4 linked regions of the Coturnix japonica genome follow. The protein of the gene in region 4 interacts with the protein of the main gene of each other region in a pairwise test. Links are inferred from orthologs where the notes say so. Each region holds a gene or a part of one and is shown on either strand. Other genes may lie near its edges.

Evidence for each region.
Region 1: the proteins of TMEM159 (region 4) and COQ8A interact in binary tests that used the Homo sapiens proteins (3 or more experiments, as listed by UniProt). The two-hybrid records come from large-scale screens. The link is inferred for Coturnix japonica from reciprocal best matches to the Homo sapiens genes LDAF1 and COQ8A.
Region 2: the proteins of TMEM159 (region 4) and CACFD1 interact in binary tests that used the Homo sapiens proteins (3 or more experiments, as listed by UniProt). The two-hybrid records come from large-scale screens. The link is inferred for Coturnix japonica from reciprocal best matches to the Homo sapiens genes LDAF1 and CACFD1.
Region 3: the proteins of TMEM159 (region 4) and GAD2 interact in binary tests that used the Homo sapiens proteins (3 or more experiments, as listed by UniProt). The two-hybrid records come from large-scale screens. The link is inferred for Coturnix japonica from reciprocal best matches to the Homo sapiens genes LDAF1 and GAD2.

The regions. Positions count from the first base shown.
Region 1 is NC_029518.1:10,749,469-10,753,972, reverse strand, and holds part of COQ8A (atypical kinase COQ8A, mitochondrial), read left to right. Parts: intron 1-191; coding exon 192-596; intron 597-1,786; coding exon 1,787-1,853; intron 1,854-2,909; coding exon 2,910-2,984; intron 2,985-4,504. UniProt on the Homo sapiens protein: Atypical kinase involved in the biosynthesis of coenzyme Q, also named ubiquinone, an essential lipid-soluble electron transporter for aerobic cellular respiration.
Region 2 is NC_029532.1:5,465,411-5,470,353, reverse strand, and holds the start of CACFD1 (calcium channel flower homolog), read right to left. Parts: upstream 3,354-4,943; 5' UTR 3,069-3,353; coding exon 2,945-3,068; intron 1-2,944. UniProt on the Homo sapiens protein: Transmembrane protein which mediates synaptic endocytosis and fitness-based cell culling.
Region 3 is NC_029517.1:14,717,904-14,722,407, forward strand, and holds part of GAD2 (glutamate decarboxylase 2), read right to left. Parts: intron 3,755-4,504; coding exon 3,647-3,754; intron 2,523-3,646; coding exon 2,433-2,522; intron 1,741-2,432; coding exon 1,567-1,740; 3' UTR 1-1,566. UniProt on the Homo sapiens protein: Catalyzes the production of GABA.
Region 4 is NC_029529.1:12,763,478-12,767,244, forward strand, and holds the end of TMEM159 (promethin), read left to right. Parts: intron 1-245; coding exon 246-384; intron 385-1,728; coding exon 1,729-1,822; 3' UTR 1,823-2,547; downstream 2,548-3,767. UniProt on the Homo sapiens protein: Plays an important role in the formation of lipid droplets (LD) which are storage organelles at the center of lipid and energy homeostasis. In association with BSCL2/seipin, defines the sites of LD formation in the endoplasmic reticulum.

The sequences.
Region 1 (4,504 bases), on a different chromosome or scaffold from region 4:
TAAGCCTCGCCCTCTGAGTTACTAAAGCAACTAATACAGATGTCGTAGTGTGCCAGGATTTGTCCAGCACATCAGCAGTGTGCCATATGTGCTTGGACAGAAGTGTAAGAGGATTGTTACTAGTTTCATCTGTGACATCTGTGAATTTACTTAAAGTTCTTTACTTAAAGTGTTTTTATTACTGCTTACAGGAGCTGGGCAAACAACAGGAGAACTTAAGTGATTTCGGCGAGGATTTTGGGAAGGACTATGACTTCTTGGCACAAGAGCCATCGGATGCTTCGAGGGACTTCTCTACTGCCCCCAGCAAAACTCATGAACACAGCAGTGAAGGCCCTGCTTACTCTTACACTACGAATGGACCTTTTAAAAGCGTTGGTGAAACTGGAGATACTGGTCTGGGTCAGAAGCCTTTCCCTCCCAAAATGGATGCAAGGTTATTTGGAGGCTTTAGGGACCCTGGAAATCCTTTTGCTGCTGTCTTTGGACAAAACAGGGCTTTTCACCAAGATCATTCCTCTGTTGGTGGATTAACAGCTGAAGATATTGATAAAGCCAGACAGGCCAAAACTGAGCAGAAACCGTACAAACAGATGGTACGTGTATGTTTGTGTGTGGATTTTTTATAATTATAGGTTCTTGTTACTGTTCTGGATTATCCATAAGTCACCTCCTCCCATGTTTCTATTATTTTTTCCCCTTCTGAAATTCCCTTATGGAGAGGAAAAGATACAAGTGTCAGTGCTTCTTAACCCAGGTTTCTATGACAGGATCTCCTTTCACATCTACCTCTTATATATCCAACATTCTGATGTGAGAGGATGTTTAAAATGCCTATGTAGGGTTAGGCTTAAACTTGGTGTTGACAGGAGTTCTCCTTTCATTCATTGGACTGTGTGGACTCAGTGTGTTGATGCAGGTTACAGTAATGAAGGATCTGTGTTTTATCACAGTTTAACTGAAGTGTTGAGAGGATGTGGACTGTTTGTAGGCTACAATGCTTTGAAGGCTGCCCCAAAGGGTCTGTCTTCTTGAAGGGCTCTGTCTCCTTTAGCTAATGGTCTTGCTATGGCCATGATGAATGGATTGGATCTACACTTTACTCAGCAAAGACTATGGCTTCCTGTGCTATATCTTGTTGTCCTCAGAAGTGGATGGAATGTTGTCCTCAGCATTAGTAGATTAGAGAGTAGCATAGAGCCCTGAAGCAACAGTTGTGATCTATGTCCTTGTGGGAGCCAACACCAAGAACCCACAGTAGAATTCACAGTGGAGATGCTTGCCTCCTGCTCTAACTTGCCTCCTTCAAACCCACTATCAGATGCTGCTGTGGGTTTGCTTACTCAGGGTATTGCTTCAGTGGTACTGTATGCTTCTGCTTTGGCTGTTTTGTGGGGAAATTATCTGCAGTCCCATTGATCTGATGACTTGCCAAGATTTTTAACTGCGTGTGTAGAAGAGAGTTTAGCATTGGTTGATATTTCAGCGCTTCTCCGAGTTCAAAATTTAAGGGCTGTTAAGTTAAAAGCAAACGTGGACTTTCTAAACATGGCTATCAGCTTTTCTGTCTTTCCCACTCTCTTGTCCATTTCTTGGCTTAATGTGTTTGGTAGCTGTATTTTTGCAGTGTTCTCGCTTGAAGATCTGCCACTGTATATTTGGCTTGCCGTTCAAGAAGAGCTTTCTGTAGCACAGATACGCTCTTCAAGTGTTTTTTGGAGTCACGCTCTGTTTGCAGGTAACTGACTTGTTTGTTTGTTCTCCTTGCCCTGTCTTTCCGTGGCAGCTCAGTGAACGGGCCCGGGAGCGGAAGGTTCCTGTCACAAGGATCGGGCGGCTCGCCAACTTTGGAGGTGAGTTTGCACACCTACATCTGCAAAGGCACCACAGCTGAGCAGGCTGATGGCTGGTTGTGAAAGCGCCCCAGCTAAAGCAGAAGGTGGTTCCATTTTTGTGTTCAGCTTGCTGATAGGCAAGTGCTTTCTCACAAACAAATGGTTTGGCTCCAGAGCTTGATTTGGGATTTTTCATTACCATTACGGCTCTCAGCCTTTAGTCAGAAAGAAGTTACATTTTTCATCCGTCTCTGTTGCTCTTTTATCATATCTAACTGCTGAGCAAGGTAGTACTTGTGTGTCTCCCTTTGCTACTGGAAGTCCTCACTTGATTTCAGTTGTTTTTTTTTGTGCTCAAGATCAAGTAAGTTAAAATAGAATGCTGAGAAGGTCAAAAGCAGCTTTCATTTAACTGTTCCTGGGGTTCAGAAAGCTGAATTCTCATACTCTTGGCACTGTGGCCCTCACACTTGAATTATTCCTCCTTGTTTATTTCTTTACATGTTTTTTCATTGCTCCCAGATGCACTGGGGACCGTTGCTCTCTCTGCTGTGGCATTGAGACATTGCGGGGTGATGAGCATATTAGTAACTGGAGGCACAATTACGTGGACAGCAGAGTTCTGGGAATAAAGAACACACTGCTGGAACAATTAAGGATCTTTTTTTCCTTCAGTGCTTTTTTTGCTCTCCCTGCTGAGCTCCTGTTTCTCTGTGATCAGTGTGAGGCACTGCTGGACTTTGTTACCTATCTGCATTTTCATACATTGCTTGCTGCAGCTGGGGTGACTGCTGGTAGCTTCATTTATAGTTCATTGCAGTCCAAAACATTGCTTAGTGTGTGGAGCCAAGGCCAATAGGAAAAGTACTGTAGGTGACTTGCTGTTTCTTTTCTGTCCCTAATATTAGTTGGTGAGATACATCTTCATTGTATTGTTGTGTGGCTCCTGATGCTCTCTGCTCCCATTAACTGTTTGTATGTTGGATCTGGTTGAAGATGACTGCATTTCAAGTGCAAAAGATATTTGCTCAGCAGTTGTGGTATTTTCACTCTGACCTGCCTCTTATTTTAAAGGTTTAGCTGTTGGTCTCGGCATTGGGGCGTTGGCAGAAGTTGCAAAGAAGAGCCTTAGACCTGAAGAACGTAGTGGTAAGTTCTTTCTGCATCCTCACCCTTTCTCTTTATTCCCCTGCAGCCACTGACGGCTTGCATCACTGTTTGAAAAGCTGTATTATTTTGAATGTTGGGACATTGGTTAGTTATACCTGGCTGCATTATGGTGGCTGTTTCCTACACTTATGCTTTGGTAGGCTGCAGTATTATAGAGTGGTACCGTGTGGGTGAATGCTTTATGGCATAAAAAGTACATGGTGTTCTTCCCTAGAAAATGTCAGATCATTTTAGGCTTATGGTTCAAGGCACTTGATTCTTATCAGTGAAACGTTTTGGTGGCGCGCTGCAAAGTGTGAAGCTGTTAGAATTATTGCAGGAGTTACTGCAGGCTGCGTGGTCTTCGGCTGCTCTGTGTGGTTTGACTCATATGTTTATGTTTAGATTATGTCCAGTGATGAGAAGGAACTGATAAGAAGGATAAGCTTTTGCAGTTAGAAATCTTACAAGTAACTTACAAGTACCCAGCACCTCTCATTTACTCTGTGGCCATTTGTATTGTACTACAAGGCCAGTTTGTGTCTTCCTCACCCTTTTTTAGTAGTGAGGGGCAGATGGAGACTGAGGAAGGAGAACCTCTATTCCAGGAGGTACTGGAGTGGCTTAGAGAAATAAAAACCAACCAACCAAATTACAGTTCTGTTCTTCACTCCCTGAAACAAATTAACAAAACCACCAAAACCTCAACAACGAAAACAAAACAAAAGCAACCCCACAGAAGGACTGACACGTTCCTGGTGCTGGAGGGGAAGGAAAGGGTTGTGTACTGCCCAGGACACTACCTGCTAATGTGCATCTTTGTATTCCCTTACAACCAGGCGATGCAGAGCAGCCCAGCAAAGGAGGATCCTTGGCAAAGAGTTTTCTCTCCATGACCTGAGGTTTTTGAGGCTGGATGAGTTTCTTTGCTTTGAGCGTGCATGTAGGCAAACATGACCCATCCTCCAGACAATACTTGAAATCTTTTGCTTTCAGCGCTTGTGATGTTTGGCAGGTTGTTCGTACATGTTGGAAGTTAATGATTTGCCTTGCTTGAAGCAGAGAAGGAATTGCACAGTTGTTGGTATTTCTCTGCTTGTCAGATTATTGTCTAATTGGGCACACACCAAAGCATAAATGTGAGCTTGCAGAGCTATGAAATATGCTGGAGTACATGAGCTTTGTTTCTCATGCATTCTCTTGTAAACCTCTTGCATAGGTACCTCTACCTCTTACTTCTTTTTTAGCTGTAAACAGGCAAACAAAAAAGTACCTCTGCACTCTGCTGATGACTTCAGCTTAAGGCACTTGTGCCCAGGTTGAGAGATATTTCTGGCTGCCAGTACCATAAGGTCATGTTAAGTCTCTTATCTGAGAATGACATATTGTCCTGTTTTCTGGAAGTTAGTTAATGTCATTTCTCTTGCCACTGCTACACTATATTAACAGTAGTTTCCTGGAACACCAAACAAGCAGGGCACACATATGATCAAAGACATGCCTGAGAATTTCACACTTGC
Region 2 (4,943 bases), on a different chromosome or scaffold from region 4:
ACAGCAAAAAGAAATGACTTGCAGCACCGAGATGCTGGGACTGAAAACAGAAGAGATGTGAAGCCCATCACAGCCGCACGCTGCCAGTTCTGTGCATCACTACTAGAGATGGGCCAAAAACAGCCAAGTCTGGGTCTCCACTTACTCAAAGTGGAAGTGGATGCTGGCTAAAGCCAGGCTCTAAATAGCTCCTGTGCTCCTGAATTTGTAATGCAAGGAGGGGAACCAGCCAGCAGCATCCACACACCTACCTCCCGCCTCATTAAACTTGCAAAGCGTTTCCTGCACTTGATATCGCTGCTCACCCAGGAACCTGAGTCCCCAGTAAACAACAGCACAAAGTGCCAGCTAAAATCTTTAAGCAGCCCTGGGATGTGGAGCTGAACTACAAAGAGAGGAAGTTTTCTTCTTCTAAGCAGTCACTGCTGGATCCTCAAGGTTCCCTTATTGACCATACTGAGCTGCATGTAAAGGCCAGGATCACTGTGAGGTCACCCCACAAGCAGACTCCTATTTCTGCAAAACAACACCATCACTGCTCTTATTCTTTAAAGGATTCCTAGGTCTATCCAACAGAACTCAAGGAGTCCTGCAAGGGCAAGGTTCTAACAGAGCAGAAATACAAGAGAACATGGTGCCAGCCTCAAACACCCCAAAACACCCCTGAGCATTAAAGGTCCTTGCAGGAACCCCAGCTAAAAGCTCACTGCGTTTGCCAATGGACCCAGCAAACCTGAGCTGAGCAAGTCCATACGTCAGCACAAACACCAACCAGAGGGGAAGGAGTCAGAGCTTTGTAAGCACAGGAACACACTGCGCTCGATGGCGGCTGCCAACAGCCAGAGATAACGATTCAGTGACCTTCGTTCTCCTTTGCAGCACAACGCATCCCACAGCAGCCTGGCACTTCCTGGTCCCGCTGGGCAGTATCAGCTCCTGCCTCCATAAGCCAAAAGGGGACGGAGCTGCCAACTCAGTGACGACTTCTTGCAAAACAAAGGCTCAGAAGAGGCATAAAATTTAGATATCGCTCGATGGCACGTAAGCTATGGGAGGCAGCCCTGCTATTTGTTTAATTGCTGTCCCATCCCGAAAGCCCCGGGGAAGAACAAATAACTGGGAGCTAAAATGAAGAAGGAAAAAAAAAAGAATGCCCCCCACAATGACTCTATTCATCCCAAGCAGCTGCTCAGTGCCTTCAGTGCAACACTATTTTTGCTCCTGGAGCATTATACAAAAGCCACAGGCTCTCATCCTTTTATAAGAGGGAACAGAAGGGGGAGAAGGGACTCAGCCAAGGTCACCAAGCAGCCTGGATGGATGGAGGATCTGGACAGCCCTCATGGAGGTTCCTGATGCCCTGAATGACTGGCAGCCTTAAGGATGGCTGCTCTGCTCAGAGACACCCACAGATGTAAAACTGTTTGAAAAGAAGCCAGGAGTTCAGCAAAGCTGTGAAGGAAAGGTTGCAAATAGAATCCAAGCAGAACTCAGCTGCTTCAAAAGCTGAAGATAGAAGAAAAAGAACCTGTTTTCAAAGTGCTGTGCTGCTGCTAAGCCAGGGTTGAGCTGCTTTGGCACAAGGGGTGGGCCAAGAGCTGCAATCTTGGACCCCATATCTTCACCCTACATGGGTGATGAGACCCTGGTTGCAACCCCAGCCCATAGCAAAGCTGCTACTCTGGGAGCTGCCCTCCAACGTGTCCCATCCAGCCTCCTGCCTCCATTATAGGTGTGGGGCCTCCACCAAAGGCATGGGGTCTGTAGCTGGTGCATTTCACCTCCTAAGAGCAGCCCTTTTTATGCCTCTTTCAGCACCTCAGACATAACATATTGAGAGCAGCATTCAGCCACCAAGGGCTGCAGGAGGCTGCATGGCAATGCCTCAGGGTATAGGGCTGGGTATCCAGCCTGGTCTGGCTCCATCAGGTGTCAAGGCAGGAGACAAGCACAGTGATGGTCAGGACCAGCCAAAACACTGCAGCAGAGGGAATAGATCTGGGCTGACTGTCCTGGCTGAGAAACACTCTTGTTTTAACACTCAAGTCATGGACCCGAAGCAGAAGTTCTCCATCCTGTGCTCTGCAGGAGATCAGACTAAGCAGTCATAACAGTCCCTCCTACTTTTAAGAGCTATTAATCTCCCCACAGAACACAGCTGATTCCTGGCAAAGGTGCAAAAACTCTTTCCCTGGGAAAATGTTCATCAGCAGCAGGTAATTCCCAGCCAGCCAACTCGCTTTGCTGTGCTCTGTCTCCCATCTTCTGCACGTCCAAGACTTAAACCCCTTAGAAAACAAACAGTGCAAACCCAGTTTGTTATTTGCCTTCAAAAATAGACACAGCCAGGGCCCCCTGTGATAAACAGCAGGAGGAATGGGAAACGTGGTCTGATACTCAAAGCAGGGTAAGAAAATAAGCAGAAGGAACATGTGAACACCTGACAGTCCAATAGGATGAATTAAATCCTGTGGCCCCAGTTCAAGCCCTGCACCTGATCCTACTGAGCCTGATGCTCGTTGTTGAAACACTGTCTGCTTTATCTGCCCACAGCCATCCCGCAGGACCGGGGTTTGGCTGCTGCTTCCATCACTCGTGCTGATGGGAGATGATCGTTATCCAATAGGAAACTCGAGGTTTTGCAGACCCCCCACCCCATGCCGTCTCTTCTCCCAGGTGCTGCAGTTGAGCAAGCACAAAGCGCATCACTCACATGCAAACCAACATCACCCTGCTTTAGGCACGCCCACAGCTCTTCCTTCTGCCCAAAACACAGCAAACCACACGTGTAAGGAAGGTTACAAACCTGCAACACCCACAGATTATTTCAGGGCCCGCCTCCCCATGCACAGACCCGACCCAACCAGCAGCAGCACGACACCCTGACTTACGCTTTTGCATGCATGCAATGGGGAACAGCTGGCTGTAAGGAGGGGATACTTACACACGCCCCCGATGACCCCGGCAATCCTGCAGAGCCACCTGTACCACCAGGTCATGCCATCATCACTGGAGGAAGATGCTGACTCAGGGGCTGCTGCTTGGAACTGCTCATCCTGAGAGCTCATGGCCCCGCTGCTGCTGCTGAGGGATCAAAGGGCAGCTCCCCGCTCCCCACCTGAACCCCAGCAGCGCAGGACGCCCCCTTTAAATGACACCCCCTCTCTAGAACGAGCAGGAGGCGGCTCCTAACCCAGCACTGCTGCTGCTGGGTCTCTCCTCGTACCCCCATACAGGGCCGGGCCCCCCCAGGGCTGACAATAGAGGGTTTCTGACCGCAGCAGCGATGCCAGCAGCCGTGGGATCAGCCTCCACGTCTCCCTGCCTATTGCATTGTGGGTCCCCTCCTCCAGCAGGGAGGGCTTTGATGTCACGCTCATTAAAAAGCCAGTGGGCAGAGCCCGGCGTGTGCATGTTCATTGGGAGCAGCGGGATGGGAGGCACGCTGAGCTTACGGGATAAGGGCAGGTGGCTGCATGGGAATGCAGCAGCAATGAGCCCTAAACTCTCCTCCCAGAGCGAGATCTGAACGCACAAACTTCTGCATGGAAGTTTGGTCTGATAATGCAGCTCCTTTACTCTCATTATAGAGGGAGGTGGTGAAGAAATTGTGCCCTCGAGGCAAGAGGGAACCATTCCCCTTGATCTGAATGGAAATGGGCTTTTCTGACCTAGAAACTGGGAGCTAAAGTAGGACTTTGCAGATCAGAGATGTCCCAGTTGGCAGCGTGCTGGTATCCAAACAGCTGGTACAGTGAGACAGCATTGATTCTCTTAAATCATCAAAGCAACAGCTGTACATTTTGCCTGTGAACATGGAGAGTGCAGCCAGTAATCAGAGCCCATCTCTGCAGACCAGAAACTCCACATAGTTGATCTGGAACAATAAATAGCAATGAGAATTGGGATCCAGAGCTGAGGGGGAAGACGGATCCCATCTGCTGAAAGGTTACGAAGAAGAATGAACAAAAGGATTTCTTCTTTATTTCATTACTGTTACGTCTCTGGTTAGGCAGGAAATAAAGGCCCAGTGCCTGCATCACCCACACACTGCAGTGGGACAGCTGATATATTCAGCTCCTCAAGAATCTACTTTCTTGCTCTTCCAGGAACAGAACGTAAATCTGAAGGCTGGCAAGCAAAAAACCCAAACAAATCTGGGCAGAACTAGCAAAAATAATCACTAAGAAGACAGGAGAAAATAAGGTTTTGTGGCTGTAAAAAGACATCAGAGAATTCAATGGAAAGAAAGCAGAGGTAGCATTAAAACGTCTCAAGCAGAACCATTTATCTACCATGAAGTGTAGGCAGGTAGGTCCAGGCAGGCTCAAGGTTTGGAATAGACCTCTTTTGTAGGACATTGAGATGTTGATGAGGATGATAGATTGGTACCAAGATAGGGAACTGCTGAACAGGTTAAAAACATTAAATAAAAAGAACTTCAAATATATATTTAAGTCAATCTTGGGTGAATATTTACCGCTGCTCTAAAACACATCTTCCTGCTATTGTTTGTATCACACGGTCTCAACAGCTGCTCTTGACACAGTTCCTGTCCCATGGAGATACAAGTAGATTATTTGCACAGCTACTGTTTTATCTGAAGAAATATCTCTCGGCATCAAACTCATCATTAAGAGACAGGATTCTTTTATTTTCCCATAGAAAAGAAGTATTAGCACCACTGTTAGCTATGTAAAAGCAGAATCCTAGATGTGGTGAGCTGGGAGAGACCCTCTGGAGGTCATTTACTCCTCCCACACAAAGCCAATTGCCACCAGTCCTTGTTCAGGTTAGCAAAGACCTGAAAATAGTCCATGATGGAGATTCCATCAGCATTCTAGGTGACTTTTCCTAGTGTTGTACTACCCTTATGGTCAAAGAAAGCCGATTGCCTTCATACATTTCTCAAGCTGCTACAACTCAGGAGGACAAACCTTCTT
Region 3 (4,504 bases), on a different chromosome or scaffold from region 4:
TTTTTATTTTCTTTTCAAGTATGTTTAAAGCCAGCAAAACAATATTGCTTTACAAACACAAGTTGGCCACATAGGCAAAGTTAAAACCAAAACTCTTGTAGGGTTATAAATAGACAGACCTGAGCCCCGTAATTCCTACCCACACTTCCAGCTGTAGAAGGGGAAAAAAGGATAAACTTCAGCTGCCATCTCAGAGCCACTGCTAATGGTGAGGAATGGGGCAGCAATGAGTTCTGCAGGAGTCATGCCCACGGCTTCTAAGGCTTGAGAGGCTTCGCATGGCCTGTTCTAGGCAGATGCGGCCTAAGCTCACTCATTTTCTGTCATTTCAAAAGTTGTAGCAAACAAAGACGTAGTCCAGAACTGGGAGAACCTCTGACAACACAGTTTGTTACTCAACCTCAAACAACAACCTCTAGCAACCTCCAATACTGCCATCTGGATTATGGTTGTGTTTAGTTTAGGCCCTATCCTGCAGACCTGTACATTCGTAAGAAGCCTTTCCCCTCTTAATGAAGCTTTATTTGGAAAGCATTCCAGGCAATTCGTGTTTGGTGCAGTTTTGTACTGCTCAGAGCAGAAATGGTTATGATGTAAGAACTTGGACATGTGACTTTTTTGGATAGGCTTTTTTACCACAGGACAAAGAAACCATCCAAATACAACCTAATTTCAGTCTTGGTTAGCGCTGTTGATTGATTGTGCGTCTGCTTAGTTAGGCCAAGTGGGAAACATAATTAGGAATAATAACATCCTATTGTTGTACTGTAATTGATCTTACTAAGTGGTTTTAAGAGCTGCAGTACTCTTGAGGTTTTTCAATAATCAACCCTGGAGACCTACAATCCACGTAACATGGAGAAATGAGGTTCGGGTACCTCTTCAGAATGTATGTGGGCTCGTGATTTAAAATAAGCAGTAATAAATATTTGAGGCACCTCCATCAAAAGAAAAGAATTCTAGTTAATTTTCAGTTTCTGTCCTTGCAGTTTTATAACCCATATAAAACAAAAATATATATTTTATAAAATAGGGTTTATATATATATATATAGATATATATTTCCTTTTGTAAAACTATACCTATTTAAATATATTTGCAATACTGCTATAGGTAAATTAGAAATTCTGTTCTAATACTATGAAAAAGGCAAAATACTTCCACTTTTAAACATACAGCTTGTATACTGTTTCTCACTACCCTCTCCCTATTCCCTTAATTTTATTTTGTCACCATCTGGGGCAAATTTGGCACCATTCGGTCTGACTGCTTTTAATTTAAAGTAGTTCCTGTGTTAAAATTTGGGATAAAATTTTAAACATCTTCTGTTATTCCTCATTTGTTTCAATGCAGCTTTTTGTGCAGCTAATTATTAACGAGGTATTCTAAAACTCAGGAAAGGACTTTAAAGGAGCCATGGTTTTTTTGATTTTAAACTGTACTCTACTCCAACGCCACAATATAGAAATAGATTTACTTTGGAACAAACTACAAATACATTCGCACAGTTTGTGACAACTTAATTGTCTACTTAGAGGTCCAGGAACAGCCTTTCACACCCGGTTATTATAGATCTTGTCCCAGGCGCTCTATTTCCTCAATGAGGAAGTCTATGTCAGACTTAGTTGCTGCTGGGTTTGAGATGACCATTCGGAAGAAGTTGACTTTATCGCCCTGAGGCTGATAGCTCACCATAGTTGTCCCATATTCCATCATCCTGGCTTTTATCACTGGTGCCACCTGCAGTGGTGTTCAACAAGAAGCAGGGGATGATGACAATGTTACTATTATTATTACTAAAAAGCAGAGGGTTTTTTTTTGTTTGTTGTTTTCTTTTTTTTTTCTCTTTTTTTCTTTTTTTCTTTTTTTTTTTTTTAAGGATGAAGAGATGTAAGAAGCTGTTATGGTGAAAATCGGTCCAATATTGATAAAGCAGTTAACCTCCATTAGGGAATAAACGGCTAAGGAATAAATGGCTCATTTCAAGGATACTGGATTTATCCAGATTCTTTGTCCTGCTCTTTAAATTGCTGGGGAATTTCCCTCTTACTGTCTCAGTTTTGCTCACAGGCAATTAGCGCATGGTAACTGGTTCTTCTAGTGCTCAAAACAAGTTGTTTTCCATCTTCTTTTTGTATGGCAGAGTGCACACAGATTACCATGCCTGTGGGGCTCACTCATTGCTGTTTATGTTAACCTCAGTAAATATACACAGGGTTCCAGTAAGAACTCTAAAGGTCAGCTCAAGAATACTGAACTTGGAGGCCAAAGTGGAGTGGTGCCGGACTAATAAGCAGCAAGATGACCATGGAAGTGTCATCTGCCACAACACAGCCAGGTGACCAGACCCTACACCCTGAGGATCATTTCTGGGCCTGCCTGCTGTAAGGTCTTTGCTGCTCGGTGCATGACACCCTGGGGACCCTGCTTACCTTCATGAGGCGGCTCATCCTTTCTTCATTGTCTTCCATGCCACGCAAGCTGGGAGGTATATACCAGAAGCAGACGTTTGTGTGCTGAGGCTAAGCACAGAATAACAGCAGTTTACACTGTAAGAAATGCTCGCAATATCTCAATTGCAATTAAGCTCATGCCTTCTCCCCCTCTCATGCATCATATTCTGACAGCAATGAATGGTTTTCATTACCGTGGTCCACTGAGAGTCATCATCGTTATTAATGCAGAAAGGGTAATTTTAGGCAATTTATTCCTAGGATGTCAGTTGCAGAAATATATCACCCAGCTGTGCAAATATATTTACCCCTTGCTGAGAAGCGTCTAGATTTTGTAGGTGCTGTCCCCCCAGGAGGCTGAAGGGAATGCATGGATAAGGCAAAAGACTATCAGAGATAATTTATAGGTGAGGACCGTATCATTAACTGTTATTACATGACAGTATAATGCAGAATCCAGCCCTGTAAACAGTAGTCACAGGTGGTACATGAAGTAGTCTAACATTTTTGTACATATAATAAAATTTATTACTGCTCTGTTTGATTCCACTAGCTTCTGTATTAATATGCATGCATAACAGCATCTTAGCTAGTTTAACTTAACGTGGGAGCACTAAGTGGAAAGGCAGAATCAGCTGACATTTTGTGTGTTTTTGCAGCCTCCCAGCAGTTGCTTTCCTTGCTGTGTTCCTCTCAGCTGAACATGTGAGCTACAGCAGTTCTGACTGCTGTCAGTATCTCTACCCATCATCAGACTCAATGGACCAAATTCAGGGGTGATGTGAGAGGTGTGGGAAATAAACTGCATAGTGATATGTCTGAAGGAACATGGTGTTACTGCTGCCACATGAGCCCAAGCAGCACCAGCTTTGTGTCACGCTGCAACCTCCATTCCTAACAGACACTGGAATTACAAAATGACAACTGCTTTATACTGTTTGAAAGCTGGTTCTGACTGTGCGTGTTCTGCTTTATCCTGAGATGTCACTGTTTATGTTCCGTGGGGTAACACTATGCAAACTGGTAAGTTATGCCTTGTCCCTGGATCCCCTAAGGAAGAGCATTATCAGCACAGCAACAACACAAGGGCACTGTGTGCGACCACATGCTGTAGGTTTGACCTGTTGGTAGCGTCCTAGTATCTACTGTAGGTTCAGTTGACCAAGTGGCAAAAAAGCAGTTATAGTACGTACCTTTCCATCAAATACCATTTCATACCCTTCTCTGTTCTTTATTTTGTTGTATAGGTATTCTGCAAGTTCCAAGCACTTATCAATTTGTGCTTCAAATCCTGTGGTTCCCTTTAGAGAAAAGGGGAAAAAAAGGAGAAACTCTTCTGTTACCAGACACAGCAAAAGGCCCGTGCAGCACCCACTAAAGCCCCACCATGGGTCACCTATCTGAAGTCAGTGTGGGACAAATTTAAAGATGCAGTTCTGTCATGTGAAGGATGCTCTCCTGGGTGCAGCTCATGAAGGTCTTGCCACTGGCTCCTCTAATGCTACCTCTGCAAATAAGGCCTCAATACTATCTCAGTTCTCAGCAAAACACTGGTAACATCAGTGATGAGGGTACTCTCAGTGATGGATTTTGCAGAGCTGCCTGGGCTGGCACAAAACGGTGTCTCCACAGGAAGATGCAGAGTTCCACACATGGGGTGTTAAAGGCCATTTCCAGAAGAGGGGACTTAAATCTTTGAGAGGTGATGAGATGGGGCTTTTTCCAAGAATCTTTTTTTTTTTTTTTTTTTAATAAACACAAAAACATGCTTTCAGGGATGAGCCTGATGCCTGTGGAAATGCACGTTTTGTTCAAATACTGCCCTGCTTCCCTAGTGTTTTTCTTCCTTTTATTCTAATTGACACCACATCAAGTTAGAAGCCATGTCTGTAAGACCCCCACAAATCCTGCTTTTTCTTCTCTGGCAGAAGTCCTAATCCTCTGCCCGTGACATCATGATTGTTCCTGCAGTCACCAGCTGAGATGCCACAAACAAAGGATCCAGCTTGAAGAAGAAGGAAGGGGAACCATCAGCTGGAATAGATAAACCA
Region 4 (3,767 bases):
TGCTTTCCTGCTCTGAACCCCCGATCACAGCAAAGCCCGTTATCTTGGCTGTGCATAGCTTTCGTTTGTGGTATTTGACGGAAGACGTTGTTACTTTGCCCTCCTCCTCCCAAGTGGAGGCTCTTGGCTGTTCCCCATCAGCTGGTTGATTTCATTTTCCCAAGTGCTTTTACTCTGGGGTTGTGGTCAAACACTGAGTTAGATATAACCGTGTCTATATGATAATCTGTCTTTTGCTTTATTAGGTGTTGTGATCTCCATCGGGGGCATTGCCCTCCTCTGTGTGCTTTGCGGCCTGGGCGCACTGTCACTGGGACTTTCTGGAGTGCTCAGTGTTTGTTACATCGTCCTTTCAGCGCTGGTCAACTACTGGGGCGCCTCAAGGTAACAGCCCGGGCTTTGGTCTGTGCCCTGACTTCAAACTGCAGCTGTACTGTAGCGTTGGTTACTTCCTTTATTTTAACAGTGAACTTCTGGTTCTTTTAATGAATGGCTTTCATGTGCTGGGGCATCTCTGGCTGCTTTGGTGCTTCAGCATTAAATGTAAACACATCAGTATGGATTTTGGTGAGAGTTACATTCACAGAGTGCTTAGAGTTGGAGGGGACCTTTAAAGGCGATCTGATCCATCTCTGCAATGAGCAGGGACACGCACAGCTCCATCAGGTGCTCAGAGCCCACCAGCCCGGCCTTGGATGTCTCCAGCAATGGGGCATCGCCCACATCTCTGCATCCTGTGCTGGGGCCACACCAACCTCATTGTAACAGAGAACTTCTTCCTTATGTCTGACCTAAACCTCTCTGTGAGCCTGAAAAACAGGCATATGTGAACACTCCGTAACATCAAAATGTATCTTTATTGTAGAATTAATATTGGTTTAAACATCCTCAAAACACACTTTCATGCACACCGAGAGGATGCAGCAGTGCTCTTTCTGCAGGGTGCAGTACCCAGCTATCTCAGCTGACCTGCATTTGCAAATAAATGGGCAGAAATGCAGCTTTGGAATAGGAGCATGAGTTGTTAAAGGGGAGAGCGTGGGTGGCTTCGGTAGGAGCGAGTTGTTTTGCTGGATGCTCCACGTGTTGGATTGCTGGCCATGCCTGCACACGCTCCTGGAACTCGGGGCTTGGAGGCCAGACTGGGGAGATTGGTTCCAGCTGAGCTGTGCTCAGGCACGTTGTGCAGCAGGGCCACCTGCTGCCTGCAGCGCATTGAGCAGCAGGAAGGGCTGAGGGGCAGGAGTGAGGAGCAGAGCTGCAGCTGCTCCCTCTGAGACTTTCTCAGCGTGGTCCTTCAGCACAGCAGCATTTTTTGCACAATTCTCAGGAACGTGCAGTTTCCTGTGAGGGTGTTGTACCTTCAGGAAGAGAAGAGTGGTGCAAAGTCAGTGTATCTGCATTGCTGCAGGGCGCTGTAGCACTCCTGCAAGGCCTGCTGCCAGGCCCGTCACTTTGCCCACCGGGTCCAGGAAAGATATCTGTCTCCTGTATCAGGTATTGATGTGCTGATAACCTACACACAGCTTACAGCTCCATGTTGGATGGGCACTGGCAGGTCGCTCTGTTTGCATTCGGTGCCTTTTCAGAGAGCTGTGGAGACAGAACAGCTGTGGATGTTGAGGACTCTCAGACTCACATTTCTTGTTGCTCAGCTGCTCTGGCAGGAAGTCAAAGGACGGCGGTCTGAGGGGAGAACAGACAAAGCTGTTCTTTTCTCCTGTGCAGGAGACAGGCGAGGAAGCAAGAGGTTAATGGAAGTTCACCACAGAAGAGTCTGTCTGTCATGGATTTCTCTGACAGCAAACAAAAGAACAAATAAGTGGGATCGTGTCCATCTCCTTCATCCACACTCCACTGTGCAGGTCTGTCCTTTGCAATGTAATTGTTTGCTTGTCGAGCATCCAGCCTGGGTGCAGTTCATATGGGAGCTGAAAGAGCCAGCGTGCATTGTGTGTAGTCACTGTAACACCAACAGTGGAAGCACCCACTGAGCAGCACATTGTGATGCTGCATGAAGGAGGGGACGTTCTGCAGCTTGGGACAGGGATGCAACAACTGCAGCTGAGTTGGTGGCAGGTGGGTGAAGGGGTGAGGGGTGTTTGCTTTGTTACTCAGTTCTTGCAATTTGTATGCAGTGGTTTGGCCATTTTATATGTGAGCATTAAGGCCCAGAACATCAGAAATGCTTTTGACGGTGAAAAAGTAACTTCTGAGTGCAAACAGCCCATGTTAAAATGCTGTGAGTGTACCACGCTGACACTGTGTGCTGTGAGAGGAAGATGGGTTTCACCATGCCTTAAGTGTGGTATAAGCAGTTACACACCCTCACAGCTGCAGGGATGCTTTTCTGCACTCACTGCCACCTCACAGCAGCAGAATGGGGCCTGCCCTTGTGCTCTGTTGTGTTCTGGGGTTGTCAATGGCCTGTTGTGCTTCTTGGCTGTAACTTCACACTTAGTTTAAACTGGTTCCATTTTTGAAAATGCTGTAATATTTCTAAGCATTATCAAACTGTTTGAGCTTAATAATGTGCTGTTTGTTTAACCACGTTGTCTCATTGTTCTGATTTAGTTCTGAGCAAGAAGTTTCCCTAAGAGTTTCCTTAAGGTTCTCCTTTCAGGCAGGTGCACGCCTGTTCAGTAAGATATTTACTGCAGATACTGCAAAACTTCATCCCACACAGAACATTTAAACTTCCCATTGGCAGCAATAGACAGTGACCAGGAAGACCAAACCAAAACTGAGGCATGTGTTCCTGAGTTTCTCTGTAAGAAAAGGCTGGGCTGTGGTACTGTTCATATAACAGACAGATGGAGAGATCCAGCTAGAAGGTGGAACAAAGGCACCTCCCAGGTACCACCAGGTCCTTGGGATCAGCACTGATGGAAGTCGGGTAAAGGAATCTCACTCAAGTCACCCACTGAGGAATCAACACCTTGTGAGCATCTGCCCTGCAATCTCTTTCCCTTTAGGGATTACAACCAGCTCATCCATAAATGCTTATTGCAGAGTGAAGCAGGGACAGTGGGAGTTGGGCCCCACTCCTCCCTTTCTGCCCTCCAGGTACAGCAGCAGCACAGAGGTGCCCACTCACCCTCATGGTACAGTTCCCCCCATTTACTAGAAGTTGAAATCAATGATAAATAGTTCTGTGGTGACATAAAATAAATAAAAATCCTAACAAGCTTAAAGAAAAGCTTTACTACTTCTTGCCCCAGCAAAGCTCTGCTTGCCTTTCCCATCTGGATGTGCAGTACAAGCACCTCCTACTGCCCTGTGAGCAGAGCCCCAGCATCCATCACAACATCCATCACAGCATCCCTGTGATGCTGGAATATGGGACATTCTGGAGCAGCTTGCAGCACCGAGCAGTGCTTTTACTCTGCTATCCAGCCTGTCATTGGATTAAAAGCAAACACTCCAAACACTCAGTTTTAAAGTGAATCCCATTAACACAAAGCCATTGAGACCAGCACTGTTGCTGGAGCTGACGTTCTCTACCTGTGCCCTCCAGAAGCAGGAGCATCTCCAGGCAGTGCATTGGTATCAAAGGGGAAAGCAACTGAGTACACTTGGAAGCGCCGCTCAGGACCTGACCTCGGTCACAGCAGCAGGATCAGGAAACGCTGTAGCAAGTTCAGTTACTTTTGTCCCTGCAGCAGCTGCCAGGAGGGGCAGGAGCAGCCCACACAGACACAGCACAACCAGAGCCCTGCTCACAGCTCCAAACACGGCACCGAGCAGAGGCAGCGTTTGTGCTCGCC